Xenopus tropicalis: one gene and its partners. The protein of the gene in region 1 interacts with the protein of each later gene in a pairwise test. Links are inferred from orthologs where the notes say so. Each region holds a gene or a part of one and is shown on either strand. Other genes may lie near its edges.

Region 1 (6,136 bases):
AGGCGCCTTCTATGGCGCCCGATCAAAATTTTCCAACTGGTCCGATCGGCGAGTCGGCCGATATCAGCAGCTTCCTGCGATATCGGTCGACTCGCCGACATACCATACACGCACCGAATATCGTACGAAACGAGGTTTCGTACGATATTATCGGTGCCTGTATGGCCACCTTTAGAGCTTACTCAAATAACTGATTCTAGCACAAACAAAATTGCTAACTTTGGCACAAATCCTATCTGTGGTGGTTTTAAAAGATTGAGCTCTAATGCATCTTCTAGGCAAAGGAAACTGCCACCACTCTAGAGATATATTGGATCTGATATTTAAAATCAGGCTCCCACCTCTTGCTTGGAGAGAGGAAGAAGAGAGACAGATGCTGCGAAGCAGGAGAGCGAAAAACAACTTGATTATTTCAGAAATGGGCAGAATTTTAGAAAAAATTTAGAAAAAATCATGTTTTAGTATGCTGAAGCTTATATTGAACTTAAATATTTGTGATAATTCCACTTTAAGCTTAATAAATGTACCCTCTTTACCTGCCTATATCCTGTACCCACTGAATGTGAAATTCAACTGGTCAATTAATGTCCCAATCTGGCCATTAAGTTATTTTCCCCTCTGGCCAAAGATGTTATCCATTAAGTCCACATACGATAATCAAACACCCTGTTGGGGGCATGGGAGAGAGGAAATAAGAACATAAAAGCAGGCTAAACACAGGCTAGTTTGCCTCTATGTTTTGAATGACAACAAGGGTTCTGAAAATTAACTAGAGCTGGTCGACTGCAATGTAGCACATATTTTCGTTAGAAAGCCATTAAGTATTATAGCCTTGTAATATTATTTATTGGTATAATTACCCAGGCATGCACTGCGCCAATACTCTTATATTATTCAAAACTCATATTAATGTTACCATTAAATGTCGGTGTTCCCTGTGCATACCGATATACTTCCAGACGTTAGCTACCTGGCTCCAGGAGCATGGACAATTGTCTCTGACCCGAAACCACCATAGTACAAACAAAAACGCAGCAGTCCAGAGACTCTGAGACACATTCGCGAATCCGACTAATGACGCCACTTCCTGTATGACAGCTGACAGGTGATTCCGAATCCGGTTCCGGGCTTTCGCATGTGAGTAGTGGTGTCTGGTAAGACTGGGTCAGAGAGATTTTTGGGGGGGGTGCCTTTGTGCATGGTAAGGTTAATATAGGTGTTACTATTTTGTGGTAATATGATGGAACCGACATATAACAGACCAGGAAGTTCTGTTGAACACGCTGGTGATAGAGAATGTTGATACAGGGGAGCGGAATGGAAAGACTCAGAGATATATTTAACTAATATATTGGTGCCAATGGCGGCCCGGAGCTTTTTTCAGTTTAATTACACGAACGTGTACTAATACTGCTGGGGCTTCTGACGTGTGGGAGGTGACTTTGCCTAGGTCTGGGTGTCCTGTCTGCATCCGCTCAGCCATTACTGAACCACAGGATCCTGTATGTGCTGATAACAGCATTGTTGACGTCTGTACCATCCATTTGACACAGTACCATCCATTTGACACATTTCTGACCGCTACTGCCTTTAGGGCTCTGGCACACGAGGAGATTTGCGTTTTTTCCCCCTGGTGCTTTGGCGACAAGTCGCCACGACAATACCCACAAAGAGATTTCATGCGAGTTGAGCTCCAGGCGATCTGCTACCCATGGTACACTCAACAGTCAACCCCCCCTCATGTTTACTCAAGTCGCTCAGAAAAGGGTCTGTGTGCGATTTTAAACAGCAGGCGATTTGAAGCTGACGCTGGCGATTTCCATTGATTTATATCTTGTCGCTCGTCTTGTCGCCAAATCGCTCTTTTAAAAATCGCTGGCAACAAATCTCCTCATGTGCCACAGCCCTTAAACTGGGCTTTCCCTAAAATTCTTCAGCTGATTAATCATCCATGCAATGGAAAGGTCATTGGGGCTCATTTATCAACACTGGGCTCATTTATCAACACTGGGCAAAATTGCACCTTGGCAGTAACCCTTGCCAACGAATCAGTGATTAGCTGTTTTCAGCTGGCTGAAGGTTGGGAAAGAAAAAATCTGATTGGTTTCCGTGGAGTTACGCCCAGGGGCAAATATGCCCTGTCTTGTAAGGGACCTGTGGTGTTTCTGAAAGTGCTATGCCGTAGTGATAAAAATACTAGGTATTTTAGCAGATGCTGCAGCTCTTATGTTGAAGTCTACCTTTGGAAGATAATACAGTGTGTGTATGTCATACAAACCCTGTTAACTGGGTGGAAATATTGAAAATGTGTATAAGTGTGGCCCTAGATATATGGGTTGTGGGTGACCATATGTACATAAACACTGTTTTCTTTTTCCTTTGAGACCTGTGGCATATCCAGTGGCCGCTCTAAACAACAGTATTTGTTGAACAAGGGGAGCTAAAAATGACGAACATTATTGGATATGCCTGCAGAGAATGGTGCATTGTTAATCATTTGTATAAATGTACTTGTGAATATTTGCTTAATGATAAAATGGCAAAGACTGGTGATTCTGAATGGTACCTGGAAAAATATATCTATTTTTTTTTTTATCAGATATGAATTCATATTCACTGACATTGTTTATGTTTTAATGCCAGTTTATTTGCAGAGTCGGACCTTGTCACTTGAAGTGTTCACAAATCCAATGGCTGACAAAAAACGCTTAGCTTTCTCCATTATTCGGCATTTACATGACCAGTTACGCAATGGTGGGCTTTCCTCAGATGCACAGGAGAGCCTGGAAGGTCTGGTTGTTACTTCATATTCTATCTTTCTGTTTATTTGATGGGGGAACTATTCTTATGAGACAAAATAGTTTTTTCTTTTCCTTGCTTTTTCATAAAACTTATGATATTCAGCCTGCACCCACCTGGGGCTACTGAACTACTGCCAGATACTTGAAGTGCAAGTTTAACAGGCAGTAGTCCAGAGGATGGAGAGCAGTACTTTTAAATGCATTCTAATATCTAAATGCTTCTTACCATGCATACGGGCAGTAATCCCCAACCAGTGGCTCGCAAGCAACATGTTGCTTACCACCCCTTTTGATGTTGCTTCCACCGGCCTCAAAATAGGTGCCCATTTTAAAATTTCTGGCTTGGAGGCAGGTTTGAAAGCCAGACACAGATTTACTCCAAGCAGAGCCTCCTGCAGGCTAGCAGTCCATTTGGGGCTACCAAATAGCCCATCAGGATGTTGAGAGTAAGTTAAGATTTTTTATGTAGTGTATAACGTGTTATGAATGTTTTGTTTTTTTAAATTATTAATGTAACAATTTTCAGCCTGCAACTGAAAATGCTCTCTGGTTGTTGGAGATCATTGACCTGGGCGAGTAAAATTGAATGAATGTGAGAGTTCAGATTTATTGTTAGTTTGATTATCTTTTTTTCTGTTCATCTTCTTTTAATCATCCATTGTGACTTCCAAACTGCTGTCTGGTTGTTGTATTAGCTTGCACCTCTGGTGGGGAAGTGTTTCTGTTGATCAGTCTCAATTACACCCTGATTCATTCATTTAATAACTGTAAAAAATGAAAATGTACAAGTTTGTAAATTAATATTGTGAATGTTAGTCCACAAATGTTTTCAATGCAAGCCTGCATTGAATGAATTAAGTGTTCCATCCCAGGGAAGTCTTCTGGTCTTTCTCTGATGCTTGAATGCAGGAACTATTGGATTACTTTAAATATATTTGTGTATAATTACTAGATGGAAGCATTATGTAATTTGAATTTTACAGTTGCTATTCAGTGCCTGGAGACAGCCTTTGAGGTTTCCATTGAAGACAGTAACTTAGCTGTACCAAGGAGTCTCCAAGAGATATTTACAGAAGCCACATGTCAGGTAATCCTTGTAATTAGTTATTGACTGACATGAAATGGCATTGTTTTGGAAAAAAATGAATTGCGAAATTCTAAACTTTTTAAAGTCTACATACCATATTTCATCTTTCTTACAAACTTGATAACATAAAGGAGTAGGAAAGTTACAGTTACTGGGGCCAAAGTCTTAGGCATCCCCAATCATTGTAATTGCTTGCCTAAAACCCCCAACCAGTGCTCCTCTTAGGAGAAAACTGCATGGCTGGTGTGTATGTGAGCTAGTGATCCTTCTTCACATGCTCAGTAGAGAGAAAAGCCAGCTTTTCCGCTCAACTGCGCATGTGTCTGTCCTGGGATTATAAAGAAAGAAGACAGGAGGAAGAGGAAAGCTAGCTTGCATATACCCTGGGCCAGTGCAATTTCATCCTAACAGGAGCACCGGGCACAGGTATCAGGTAAGAGATTACAATCACTGGTGGGGGGGGGCTAACATTTGGCACCCCTCCGTGATTTAGCCTTTCCTTCTCCTTTAATCACAGCTTTTACTATAAGACTTTGTAGCTCTACATTCTAAGCTTTCTTACCGTTTTGTAAACTGAAACTTAAAACTAGCAAAGAAGAAAGATTGGTTTGCTGTCTAGACCATAGTTTTGGGAAAATGGTAACTTAATGCGCTGTTAATTAAAGCATTCTTCTTCTCTCCTCCCAAATTCAGGACTCTCCGCAAGTTAATTCTGGCCTGGCCTCCCCTTGTGATGAGGATGTAGCAGAAGCTGAAAGATTGAAGACAGAAGGTTGGACACTTGACATGTTGCATGATCTCTTAAAGGACAAGGCAACGCAAAATATAATTTTTGCCTAATAAAAGAAAACAAGATTCTAAGCAGCTTTGCAATATACATTTATTACAAATTTGTAATGATTTTTGAGTAATTTGTATTTATAATTGCTATTAAAAAGCAGTGTTTGCCTGTCCTTTTCTATTCTCTACCCTGGTGACTCTGACTGTTGAAACAATGTAACACAAGGCAGCAGATTGACAGACTTGACTTGCTGGAGGAGACAGTTGCAACACTGATTAGAAAGTAACAACCAGGAGTTCAGCAAATGCTGCTTTCAATAGCAATTACATTTACAAATAACTTTTAAAGCGCTACAAATTTTTAACTATTTTTCATATTGGAAAATTGCTTAGAATTATGTTTTCTTTTCTTATGCAAAAAGTTATTTTTGGGGTCGACATGCCCTTTAAAATTGTCCCTTGTATTAATTGTTCATGACTGTGAGGTTATGCAGAATATTCAATTGCATTAATTGAGAAGCCATGGTATATTGGTAAAAAAAAAATGGCATTAAGGAGTACATTTTGGGACAAGAAAATACTTGTGGTAGCATAGTTAGACAGTATGGCAGTATAAGGATATTTGATTTAAAGGCGTTTATATAATCTCCACTTCTCTAAATTCACATCTTAACTTTTTTCCTATATTTTTCTTTATATCACCCTCATTTCACCTTTCACCCTTAATCCAGATTTCTTTGCCATTTGCCACTGATTTTGTCCATTTAATATAATTCCCTTACATATTTGTCCTTGTATGTATTTGTGCCCTTCCACTTCAAACTCCCTACTTCTACACTTTGTTTTCTCCTTTTGCTCCACCTTGACCTCCAGCTGCTTTTTAAAGGAATACTGTCATGGGAAAACATGTTCTTTTTCAAAACTCATCAGTTAATAGAGCTTCTCGAGCAGAATCCTGTATTGAAATCTGTTTTTCAAAAACTTTGAAGCTGAGTTTGCAGACTCAAGGCAATTTTGATATCAATTAATAGAAAGAGAAAGAATTACTGTCATGTTATTACTTTTCTTAAACCTGTATCTGTGTTTTAATTATTGTGGCCAGAGGTAGTTTTTGGTGTATGTACCATTAGATGAGCAGAGAATCTTGTTTTTCTTAGGCAATGAGCAAATGAAATTAGAAAATTTTGAAAGTGCTATTTCCTACTACTCAAAAGCTCTTGAACTGAACCCAACAAATGCTGTGTACTACTGCAACAGGTATGTATCTACATACAAGAAATATGTGTGTGTGTATATATCTCTGCTCTTCCCACGAAGAATTAAATAGCAGGCAAGCTTAACCTTTCCCGTGCCTGCCTGTCTGCTTCTAAGGGCACTCCCTCCCCCACCATTACACATAGACAACGGAGCTGAGTTTGTCACACACCGCTGAAAGCAGAAGGGGCATTGCAGGTTTGTGACTGGGCAT
Region 2 (6,016 bases), on another chromosome or scaffold:
GTAGTTCCCTGGCTGACAGTTCCTTGGGGCCCCCATGTAGTTCCCTGGCTGACAGTTCCTTGGGGCCCCCATGTAGTTCCCTGGCTGACAGTTCCTTGGGGCCCCCATGTAGTTCCCTGGCTGACAGTTCCTTGGGGCCCCATGTAGTTCCCTGGCTGACAGTTCCTTGGGGTCCCATGTAGTTCCCCGGCTGACAGTTCCTTGGGGCCCCATGTAGTTCCCTGGCTGACAGTTCCTTGGGGCCCCCATGTAGTTCCCCGGCTGACAGTTCCTTGGGGCCCCCATGTAGTTCCCTGGCTGACAGTTCCTTGGGGCCCCATGTAGTTCCCTGGCTGACAGTTTCCTTGGGGCCCCCATGTAGTTCCCCGGCTGACAGTTCCTTGGGGCCCCCATGTAGTTCCCTGGCTGACAGTTCCTTGGGGCCCCCATGTAGTTCCCCGGCTGACAGTTCCTTGGGGCCCCCATGTAGTTCCCCGGCTGACAGTTCCTTGGGGCCCCATGTAGTTCCCCGGCTGACAGTTCCTTGGGGCCCCCATGTAGTTCCCTGGCTGACAGTTCCTTGGGGCCCCCATGTAGTTCCCTGGCTGACAGTTCCTTGGGGCCCCCATGTAGTTCCCTGGCTGACAGTTCCTTGGGGCCCCATGTAGTTCCCTGGCTGACAGTTCCTTGGGGCCCCCATGTAGTTCCCCGGCTGACAGTTCCTTGGGCCCCCATGTAGTTCCCTGGCTGACAGTTCCTTGGGGCCCCCATGTAGTTCCCTGGCTGACAGTTCCTTGGGCCCCCATGTAGTTCCCTGGCTGACAGTTCCTTGGGCCCCCATGTAGTTCCCTGGCTGACAGTTCCTTGGGCCCCATGTAGTTCCCTGCTGACAGTTCCTTGGGGCCCCCATGTAGTTCCCTGGCTGACAGTTCCTTGGGCCCCCATGTAGTTCCTGGCTGACAGTTCCTTGGGGCCCCCCATGTAGTTCCCTGGCTGACAGTTCCTTGGGCCCCCATGTAGTTCCCTGGCTGACAGTTCCTTGGGCCCCCATGTAGTTCCCTGGCTGACAGTTCCTTGGGGCCCCCATGTAGTTCCCTGGCTGACAGTTCCTTGGGCCCCCATGTAGTTCCCTGGCTGACAGTTCCTTGGGCCCCCATGTAGTTCCCTGGCTGACAGTTCCTTGGGGCCCCATGTAGTTCCCTGGCTGACAGTTCCTTGGGGCCCCCATGTAGTTCCCTGGCTGACAGTTCCTTGGGGCCCCCATGTAGTTCCCTGGCTGACAGTTCCTTGGGGCCCCCATGTAGTTCCCTGGCTGACAGTTCCTTGGGGCCCCATGTAGTTCCCTGGCTGACAGTTCCTTGGGGCCCCCATGTAGTTCCCTGGCTGACAGTTCCTTGGGGCCCCCATGTAGTTCCCTGGCTGACAGTTCCTTGGGGCCCCATGTAGTTCCCTGGCTGACAGTTCCTTGGGGCCCCATGTAGTTCCCTGGCTGACAGTTCCTTGGGGCCCCCATGTAGTTCCCTGGCTGACAGTTCCTTGGGGCCCCCATGTAGTTCCCTGGCTGACAGTTCCTTGGGGCCCCCATGTAGTTCCCTGGCTGACAGTTCCTTGGGGCCCCCATGTAGTTCCCTGGCTGACAGTTCCTTGGGGCCCCCATGTAGTTCCCTGGCTGACAGTTCCTTGGGGCCCCCATGTAGTTCCCTGGCTGACAGTTCCTTGGGGCCCCCATGTAGTTCCCTGGCTGACAGTTTCCTTGGGGCCCCCATGTAGTTCCCTGGCTGACAGTTCCTTGGGCCCCATGTAGTTCCCTGGCTGACAGTTCCTTGGGGCCCCCATGTAGTTCCCTGGCTGACAGTTCCTTGGGGCCCCATGTAGTTCCCTGGCTGACAGTTCCTTGGGGCCCCCATGTAGTTCCCTGGCTGACAGTTCCTTGGGGCCCCCATGTAGTTCCCTGGCTGACAGTTCCTTGGGGCCCCCATGTAGTTCCCTGGCTGACAGTTCCTTGGGGCCCCATGTAGTTCCCGGCAGTGCGGGGGTTACGGACAGAATGTCCCGGCAGTGCAGGGGTTACGGACAGAATGTCCCGGCAGTGCGGGGGTTACGGACAGAATGTCCCGGCAGTGCGGGGGTTACGGACAGAATGTGCCGGCAGTGCGGGGGTTACGGACAGAATGTCCCGGCAGTGCGGGGGTTACGGACAGAATGACCCGGCAAGTGCGGGGGTTACGGACAGAATGTCCCGGCAGTGCGGGGGTTACGGACAGAATGTCCCGGCAGTGCGGGGGTTACGGACGGAATGTCCCGGCAGTGCGGGGGTTACGGACAGAATGTCCCGGCAGTGCGGGGGTTACGGACAGAATGACCCGGCAGTGCGGGGGTTACGGACAGAATGTCCCGGCAGTGCGGGGGTTACGGACAGAATGTCCCGGCAGTGCGGGGGTTACGGACGGAATGTCCCGGCAGTGCGGGGGTTACGGACGGAATGACCCGGCAGTGCGGGGGTTACGGACAGAATGACCCGGCAGTGCGGGGGTTACGGACAGAATGTGCCGGCAGTGCGGGGGTTACGGACGGAATGACCCGGCAGTGCGGGGGTTACGGACAGAATGACCCGGCAGTGCGGGGGTTACGGACAGAATGTCCGGCAGTGCGGGGTTACGGACGGAATGACCCGGCAGAGCGGGGGTTACGGACAGAATGACCCGGCAGTGCGGGGGTTACGGACAGAATGTCCCGGCAGTGGCGGGGGTTACGGACGGAATGACCCGGCAGTGCGGGGGTTACGGACGGAATGACCCGGCAGTGCGGGGGTTACGGACAGAATGACCCGGCAGTGCGGGGGTTACGGACAGAATGACCCGGCAGTGCGGGGGTTACGGACAGAATGACCCGGCAGTGCGGGGGTTACGGACAGAATGACCCGGCAGTGCGGGGGTTACGGACAGAATGACCCGGCAGTGCGGGGGTTACGGACAGAATGACCCGGCAGTGCGGGGGTTACGGACAGAATGACCCGGCAGTGCGGGGGTTACGGACGGAATGTCCCGGCAGTGCGGGGGTTACGGACAGAATGTGCCGGCAGTGCGGGGGTTACGGACAGAATGTCCCGGCAGTGCGGGGTTACGGACAGAATGTGCCGGCAGTGCGGGGGTTACGGACAGAATGTCCCGGCAGTGCAGGGGTTACGGACGGAATGTGCCGGCAGTGCGGGGGTTACGGACAGAATGTCCCGGCAGTGCGGGGGTTACGGACAGAATGACCCGGCAGTGCGGGGGTTACGGACAGAATGTCCCGGCAGTGCGGGGGTTACGGACAGAATGACCCGGCAGTGCGGGGGTTACGGACAGAATGACCCGGCAGTGCGGGGGTTACGGACAGAATGTGCCGGCAGTGCGGGGGTTACGGACAGAATGACCCGGCAGTGCGGGGGTTACGGACAGAATGTCCCGGCAGTGCGGGGGTTACGGACAGAATGTCCCGGCAGTGCGGGGGTTACGGACAGAATGTGCCGGCAGTGCGGGGGTTACGGACAGAATGACCCGGCAGTGCGGGGGTTACGGACAGAATGTCCCGGCAGTGCGGGGGTTACGGACGGAATGTCCCGGCAGTGCGGGGGTTACGGACAGAATGTGCCGGCAGTGCGGGGGTTACGGACAGAATGTCCCGGCAGTGCGGGGGTTACGGACAGAATGTCCCGGCAGTGCGGGGGTTACGGACGGAATGTCCCGGCAGTGCGGGGGTTAATGTGCCGGTACCGCTCCCGCTGCCCCAAACTCACCTCACAAACTTCTCTACAGCAACAGGTTCCAGTTCTCGCATCCCACGTGACTCCAGCTGGCCAATCAGCGCTCTCCCCCAGGGAGCGGGGCCAAACAGAACGTCTCATTGTGTCTGAGGGACATCTGGCTCCGCCCCCGACTATGGCTTAACCCTGTGTCTCCCGGCTTGAAAAGTGACAGGTGCACGGACAGCTGAAGGGGCGGGGTCTGGGGAGGAGCTTATGTGAGTGAGTGGCAGGGGCAGTGCTGAGGGGAGAAAAGTATTTAGTCTAGTTCAGCTCTGAGGCTGTCACTCAGAATGTATCAGGTACCGCCCACTGAGCTTGTAGCCTCAGTCTGGGGCCAGGGGGGTGGGTCTGGGGTAGGTGAGTGACAGGTGCAATGTATTACTGTGTAACCAGTAGCTCCTAGAGTGGGTCCTGCTGGTGTTCATTGCCTTAGTCCCATAGCAACCATGTAACCCAGGCCTCAAGCTGATGCTCCATCTTGTCCTACTGTCTCCATCTTGCCCTACTGTCCCCATCTTGCCCTACTGTCCCCATCTTGCCCTACTGTCCCCATCTTGCCCTACTGTCCCCATCTTGCCCTACTGTCTCCATCTTGCCCTACTGTCCCCATCTTGCCCTACTGTCCCCATCTTGCCCTACTGTCCCCATCTTGTCCTACTGTCCCCATCTTGCCCTACTGTCTCCATCTTGTCCTACTGTCTCCATCTTGCCCTACTGTCCCCATCTTGCCCTACTGTCCCCATCTTGTCCTACTGTCTCCATCTTGCCCTACTGTCTCCATCTTGCCCTACTGTCCCCATCTTGCCCTACTGTCCCCATCTTGTCCTACTGTCCCCATCTTGTCCTACTGTCTCCATCTTGTCCTACTGTCTCCATCTTGCCCTACTGTCCCCATCTTGTCCTACTGTCCCCATCTTGCCCTACTGTCTCCATCTTGCCCTACTGTCTCCATCTTGCCCTACTGTCTCCATCTTGCCCTACTGTCCCCATCTTGCCCTACTGTCCCCATCTTGTCCTACTGTCCCCATCTTGTCCTACTGTCTCCATCTTGCCCTACTGTCCCCATCTTGTCCTACTGTCTCCATCTTGCCCTACTGTCTCCATCTTGCCCTACTGTCCCCATCTTGCCCTACTGTCCCCATCTTGCCCTACTGTCTCCATCTTGCCCTACTGTCCCCATCTTGCCCTACTGTCTCCATCTTGCCCTACTGTCCCCATCTTGTCCTACTGTCTCCATCTTGCCCTACTGTCTCCATCTTGTCCTACTGTCTCCATCTTGCCCTACTGTCCCCATCTTGTCCTACTGTCTCCATCTTGTCCTACTGTCTCCATCTTGCCCTACTGTCCCCATCTTGCCCTACTGTCTCCATCTTGCCCTACTGTCTCCATCTTGTCCTACAGTCTCCATCTTGTTCTACTGTCTCCATCTTGCCCTACTGTCCCCATCTTGTCCTACTGTCTCCATCTTGTCCTACTGTCCCCATCTTGTCCTACTGTCCCCATCTTGTCCTACTGTCTCCATCTTGCCCTACTGTCCCCATCTTGTCCTACTGTCTCCATCTTGTCCTACTGTCTCCATCTTGCCCTACTGTCCCCATCTTGTCCTACTGTCTCCATCTTGCCCTACTGTCCCCATCTTGCCCTACTGTCCCCATCTTGCCCTACTGTCCCCATCTTGCCCTACTGTCCCCATCTTGCCCTACTGTCCCCATCTTGCCCTACTGTCCCCATCTTGCCCTACTGTCTCCATCTTGCCCTACTGTCCCCATCTTGCCCTACTGTCTCCATCTTGCCCTACTGTCCCCATCTTGTCCTACTGTCTCCATCTTGCCCTACTGTCTCCATCTTGTCCTACTGTCTCCATCTTGCCCTACTGTCCCCATCTTGTCCTACTGTCTCCATCTTGTCCTACTGTCTCCATCTTGCCCTACTGTCCCCATCTTGCCCTACTGTCTCCATCTTGCCCTACTGTCTCCATCTTGTCCTACAGTCTCCATCTTGTTCTACTGTCTCCATCTTGCCCTACTGTCCCCATCTTGTCCTACTGTCTCCATCTTGTCCTACTGTCTCCATCTTGCCCTACTGTCCCCATCTTGCCCTACTGTCTCCATCTTGCCCTACTGTCTCCATCTTGTCCTACAGTCTCCATCTTGTTCTACTGTCTCCATCTTGCCCTACTGTCCCCATCTTGCCCTACTGTCTCCATCTTGCCCTACTGTCCCCATCTTGTCCTACTGTCCCCATCTTGTC
Region 3 (6,259 bases), on another chromosome or scaffold:
ACCCCATAGTATAGTGCCACAGTACCTGACAGTCCCTTTTCAGCCTGTTAGTTTAAACCATATAATGCCAACAGCCTACTTCTGCACAAATATGGCAGACTAAATATATATTAACTGAAATTCAATTTAAAGATGAACAAGCTCTTTTTGTATGATGCAATTGGTCTTAATTTTTTTTGTAGGAGTCAAATAATAAATGTTTTTTTTTCTATCAACATGGCTTAATTTTCATCAAGTTAAATAATAAGCAGCAGCTCCTACAGTTGTACCCAGAAGCATTGCAGGCAATATCTGCAAAAAAATGGCAAGTCTTGCTCTTATCCTCTGGCTGACAATCTGCCCCGTATGGCTGATAATCTGCCCCATATGCCCTTGCCATAAGAGCAAACCCGCATAAAGAACGCAGGCATAGAAAAGCAGACCGTATATTCACTTTATACATTAAGATATACTACATACATACATGCATACATTCATAATAGGAAGATGATCTATATTGGAAGACACTATTAGATTTAAATGTTGTAATAGTTTCAAATAAAATTTTATTTGCATTCACTGAAAACAAATGCTTCTCCTTTTTCAGGACCAAAATAATGCCTTCCTGCTTAGTTAAACAGTGCCATAGCTGGCACCAATTGGTCTGACATGACCTGTCCTTCATGCCATGCTAATTACTGCTCATAATGCCATAATGAACCACCCCTTTAAAATGAGGAGTGAAGAATATAGTACTATTGCCAGTTATTGTGCCCAGTCAGTAGGGGTAATGCCAACTAAACATGACCTGCCTATCAGTGCTAGGTACCACCTTCATCATCCTCGTTTTATTTTCCATGCAGTCACTTTTCTGTGTTTCCCTAGGGTCACTGTATGCAGTTGGCCTGCAATAAATATGGCAGCCGTGTGTTAGATCGCATGTGGACGGCATCAACCTTAAGGGTCAAAGATGAGATAGAGCAGAAGCTGGGTATGTCTGCTATACAGCTATACTGGGGTGATCCAGAGATCCCTTCCTGTAATACGGCATTATATTTGATATATTCTCTCTCTCTCTCACACAGTCGAGAAGCTCCACCAACTGCAGAACGATCCTGTCGGTCACCACATCGCCCGCAACTTTGCCCTGACGCACTTTGTGAAGCGGAGGAAATACTGGGAGGAGCGCCAGCTGGGGGAGAACAAGCGCCGAAAAATGTTTTCTGAGATCCTGGAAGACTGAAGCGACATCTGAAAAAACTGACTTACAGCTCTAAGCCATTGCCAACATGGTGCCTTGGTGCGGAGTTTGACAGTTCAAGCCAGGACTTGAATCAGTCATAAATCTGCCAATTGGTGGTTCTGGAAGTCTGGATGTTACAACAGAATCCCTTCCCTTGTTGATTAACATGCAATGAGCTGGACTCTATCATGATATGGAGCTTATATTTATAGGGCAGTGGTTCTCAACAAGCTAGTTGAAATACTTTATTTCACTAGGTGACAGCACTTCTAAACCGGGATAAAATGACAGCCTCTTTTACAATTATGATTAGTGATGAGCGAATCTGTCCCATTTCGCTTCGCCATAAAATTTGCGAAACGGCAAGAAAATTTGTAAAACGGCAAAAAATTCACAAAACGCATTAGTCACGCTATTTTTTTTTGTTGCCCACGTCTATTTTTTGTCGCCTGTGTCTATTTTTTTGTCGCCCGTGCTTTTTTGCTGCACCCGCGCCTTTTTGATGTGACCATGCCCGATTTTATGTGACAACGCCCTTTTTGACGCGCAACGAAAAATTCCGTAAAAACAAGTAGGATCTATCCTACATGCACTATATTTTATAATTCCTATGATTATTCATTTTCCAACTAGAACATAGTCCAACTATATAAAAAAAGTCTATTTCCTTATATGCAAAGGTACACTGTTCCATTACCAACTAGGAACTAGATATATCTGACCATATTGTCTAGTTTCTATTACTGTTCCTTTTCCCACTAGATTTTAGCCCAACTTACACTGAAAGATCTATTTCCTAGTCTGTAAAGCTGCTCTGTTCCACTAGCAACTTGGAACTAGATATGTCTGAAGAAATTGTCTAGTTTCTATTACTTTTCCCTTTCCCACTAGATGTTAGCAAAACTACACTGAAAGATCAATTTCCTAATCTGTAAAGCTGCTCTGTTCTATTACCAACTAGGAACTAGATATATCTGAAGAAATTGTCTAGTTTCTATTACTGTTCCTTTTCCCACTAGATTTTAGCCCAACTTACACTGAAAGATCTATTTCCTAGTCTGTAAAACTGCTCTGTTCCATTAGCAACTTGGAACTAGACACAACCCGCCAATCACTGCCAATCGCTACTCTCTTCCTACTTCCTATTTCCGGCCAGCTAAAGTGACGCTGTGTGGTGACGTTTCCCCGGGCGCGTAGTTAGTGACGCAACCTTCCAGATACGGGTGGGCCCTTGTGAACTCGGGTTTGGGCAAAGAGGGATCCAGGCGAAGCCGGGCGGTAAGTGACACGCTTTTGACGTCACGTCATATTTAGACCCGCTCAGGACTCAGGAGCCGTGACCTCACCCCCTTACGTGTATCACCCCCTTACGTGACATCATCACACCCGGCCGTACCATTGTAGCCTCGACTTCCTAGCGTTTATACGTGACAGGCACACTGTAGCCCCATTCAGACTATGATTCCCTGACTGAGTTTGTGTGCTTGTATAGGGTTTTGTTGATAGGCAATGCCATTGGTTCCACTGTGTGTGCTGCGGTATTGGTGCCATAGTCACTCTGTGACTGCTCTGAAAATGAGTGGGAGGCCAGGTGACTGCTGAGAGAGAAGGAATTTGGGGCCTTGTCTATCAAGGGGCTGAAGGCTGATGCCCTGTCTCTGCAGTGTCTGGGCCTTTTATTGTATAATATCATACAGAGAGACCCCTGCTTCAATGTGTGGGAGGCCCCTATGTGGCAGTGGATTGTTGGTGGCATCCTGTGTTTGTGGTTTCAGATAGCTGGGGGGGCTGAATGTGGGTCATCTTTGTATTCCTACCTGCCCGCACAGTACCCCCTTTTAGCTTACCACTCAGGGGCAATCTGGCCCATTCAGAGTCAGCAGCGTATCTACCTGTATATGGGGTGCTCTGTTGGGCCTGCCAACCAATACCTGGCTGGAAATTGAACAGATTTCGATCGGCTTACTAATGCCTTCCTAGTCTCGATGGCCTGCGTTTCATCATTGTCGTATGATTGGCCAAAACAATCGGATGGGCCCAATACTGCCCACCTCATATAAGATCTGCTTGTCTGGTGACCTTGCCAAACAAGCAGATCCTTACATGTATCTCTAGCTTAAGAAGTACATGTTACCTGCAGCCCTCCTTCTGCTGTTGGATGATAGCTACCTGCCCTTGGCCAGTAGATATAGTTTGCTCAGTGTGCTCACGGCCCCTAGTAAAGCATGGTGGGCACTGTATCTCTTTCATGTAACATGTGACCATCTGTCCTTCTTCTAGGAAATGGGCATGGAGTCGCCCCCGCCAACCATGATAGAGGGTCTCGGAGATGAGGTAACAGTAGCAGTTGGTCTCTTCATCCTACTCCTAGCCATCACCTTGGCATGGCTTTCAACCTACGTTGCTGAGGGAAGTGACCCCCTTTTAGGAAGCTTAATCCCAACTGGGCGCAGGGATCCTCTCCTGGTACTCAGTAATCCAGTACCTGCCAGTCCTGAACCACAGAGGCCTGCGGAAGCCCAAGCTGAGAAACCAGAAGAAGGAGAGCAGGATCCTGGTGGAGAGCAGGAAGCTGGCAGTGAAAATGCTAACCTGGATCAGATGCTGGATATTCAGGGGGTATCCAAGCGCAGCCAGGCTGTGCCACCACTGAGAGAGGAGGATGGCACAGAGCAGGATGTGACACAGGAAGATGATAAAGAAGCGGAAAGCCCTCTTATTGTGGGTAGAAAGATAGAACAAGAGGAGGAAAAGCCACTTGCAAAAGAGGGGATGACTCGGGAGAAGCCTGAAGAAGCACTCATGACAGTCAGGCTTAAGTTCCTGAATGAAACAGAGGAGGTGGCTATGGTCAGGCCAAACGACACCATTGGGATGTTAAAAAGGTGAGATAGTGAGGAATTGGGATACAAATAACAGATAAAGAATATAAACCAGATTAAAGGTGGTCAATAAAAGCTGACAACTGGGTTCCTCCAGGACAGTGCTGTCCAACTGGCGGCCCGCGACCCCCCTCTGTGTGGCCCCCCACCTGTCTGGCTGCTTTGATGGCTTACCTTTGAGTAAGCATTAAATGGTATCAGTACTGAGATTAACTGGCCCCCTGCATGGTTCTCACCTCAGATTCAGGCTGTAATCCCTCTGTATTGTTTAAAAATGTAATCCCCTGTGTTTTTCACACCTTTTAATACCTGCATTGTTCACACCTCAGGCTCAGACTGTAATCACTCCCATTGTTCACTTCTTCACACCTCAGACATAGGTACTGTAGGCAGAGTATGGCACACACAGGCAGCATAGGTCAGGGAGGGTATGGCACACACAGGAAGGGAAGGGCAGGCAGAGTATGGCACACACAGTCAGGTTAGGGCAGGCAGAGTATGGCACACACAGGCAGGGTAGGGCAGGCAGAGTATGGCACACACAGACAGCATAGGACAGGCAGAGTGCTGTCTGTGTGTGCCATACTCTGCTTGCCCTATGCTGCTTGTGGGAGGTGAACCTGGCAGGGGTTTGTTGTGGGAGTTTGTTAGCAGTTGGAAATAGCCATTAAATGGTCCCTAAGGTGTGAAATTATGTACTGGGGGTTGCTCTGCTATCCACAGGGGAAGAGGAGGCATATGAAATTTAAGGTTATATCTTAATATGACATAATTCTTTCACATATGAATGATGGTTGATATCCCCACAGTAAGAACCAAGCATTTGGGATTTTGCTGTGCTACCACCATTGTGATAAAATAGGTGTGGTTTGAAGTGGGTGTGGTTTCAAAAAGGGGAGTGGTCAAAACTGGCTTCCATTAGCGGCCCTCCACCATGTATGCTAGAGAAATTCCGGCTCTCGGCACCGTAGAAGTTGGACAGCACTGCTCCAGGACAATGTGGCAGCCTATTGGCCCATGTAGGAGGCCAACCAATATCTTTCAGGTTTGAAAATCCCATTAGACTAGAACCGCATCAACACATTGATGCAGTCCTCATCCATTGTGTCTTCATAGTCCCTGCTCTATGATCTGCCCATTGGCCCTGCGCATGAGTGGCCAAATTGGGTTGAGCGTGAACAGATTTCAACATGTATGGCCAGATTAAAGCTAATCTCTACATATCCAGCCTGTAACACCTCTAAGACTGTGGTTGAACAACCACAGCATGCACTTGGCAGGTGTATTTCAGCAATAGCTGCAAGGTTGCGAGTTGAAAATGTAACCTATACCTGAACAATTGACTGCAGTCACTGGTATCATATAATATGTACATAGGTTCTGCAGTAGGCAGTGCTAGTCCATGCCTGTAGGTAAATACTGCAAGGTCTGCTCCATAGTAGATACAACTTGACTGCATTATCATGGATGAGCTAATGGACAGAGCTTTAAAGTAATAGTGACACCTTTAGTTTTGTGATTTAACATTTTCTTTGATAGCAGTAATAACTATCAATAACAAAATCACTGACATAAACCTACCAATTCAGTATAATATATTGCCGTAAAAAAACACTCCACTTCCTCATATGAAGAAGGCTACTACTTTCCTTAGGGGGCTTTATTCCTGCTGTTTATTTCTTTCAGACCCCTTCTGTGGTCACATAATATTAGCTGACAACACAATTTAACTGCACTGCCATATTCTTTCTGCCAGTCAAGTCCAACACGCTCTTAAAGCAGAATCAACCTTTGTCCAGTTAATCTAAAAGAGAGGTCAAATTGAGGTTAAAATGGTTTTGAAGGAGATATAGGCAAATATAGAAGTGTCCCTATCCCTTTAAATTGCCATTTACCTAATAATGGAGGAGGAATTGCACAGGTAGCAGCAGAGAAAACCTTGACTTTTACAAGTGCACTGAGAATGCAACAAAAAAAGCAGTTCACACAGATACAGTTACAGTATATATATATATTATTTTTGCTATATCTGATGACTCCTTTTTCTCTCTCCCTTTCTCTTTTGCCTATTCTCATCTTATTATTCTACCATCTCTAATCATGTGACCTCTGGTGCAACAGCAAATACTTCCCAGGCCAAGAACAGCAAATGAAG

What was found. The genes of interacting proteins can lie anywhere in the genome.
Region 2: the proteins of sgta (region 1) and pbxip1 interact in binary tests that used the Homo sapiens proteins (3 or more experiments, as listed by UniProt). The two-hybrid records come from large-scale screens. The link is inferred for Xenopus tropicalis from reciprocal best matches to the Homo sapiens genes SGTA and PBXIP1.
Region 3: the proteins of sgta (region 1) and tmub2 interact in binary tests that used the Homo sapiens proteins (3 or more experiments, as listed by UniProt). The two-hybrid records come from large-scale screens. The link is inferred for Xenopus tropicalis from reciprocal best matches to the Homo sapiens genes SGTA and TMUB2.

Annotation. Positions count from the first base shown.
Region 1 is NC_030677.2:99,257,477-99,263,612, forward strand, and holds the start of sgta (small glutamine-rich tetratricopeptide repeat-containing protein alpha), read left to right. Parts: upstream 1-2,646; 5' UTR 2,647-2,690; coding exon 2,691-2,790; intron 2,791-3,784; coding exon 3,785-3,888; intron 3,889-4,581; coding exon 4,582-4,660; intron 4,661-5,825; coding exon 5,826-5,925; intron 5,926-6,136. UniProt on the Homo sapiens protein: Co-chaperone that binds misfolded and hydrophobic patches-containing client proteins in the cytosol. Mediates their targeting to the endoplasmic reticulum but also regulates their sorting to the proteasome when targeting fails.
Region 2 is NC_030684.2:145,126,928-145,132,943, reverse strand, and holds the start of pbxip1 (pre-B-cell leukemia transcription factor-interacting protein 1), read right to left. Parts: upstream 3,867-6,016; 5' UTR 3,758-3,866; intron 1-3,757. UniProt on the Homo sapiens protein: Regulator of pre-B-cell leukemia transcription factors (BPXs) function. Inhibits the binding of PBX1-HOX complex to DNA and blocks the transcriptional activity of E2A-PBX1.
Region 3 is NC_030686.2:18,478,409-18,484,667, forward strand, and holds the start of tmub2 (transmembrane and ubiquitin-like domain-containing protein 1), read left to right. Parts: upstream 1-2,393; 5' UTR 2,394-2,500; intron 2,501-3,502; 5' UTR 3,503-3,505; coding exon 3,506-4,107; intron 4,108-6,225; coding exon 6,226-6,259.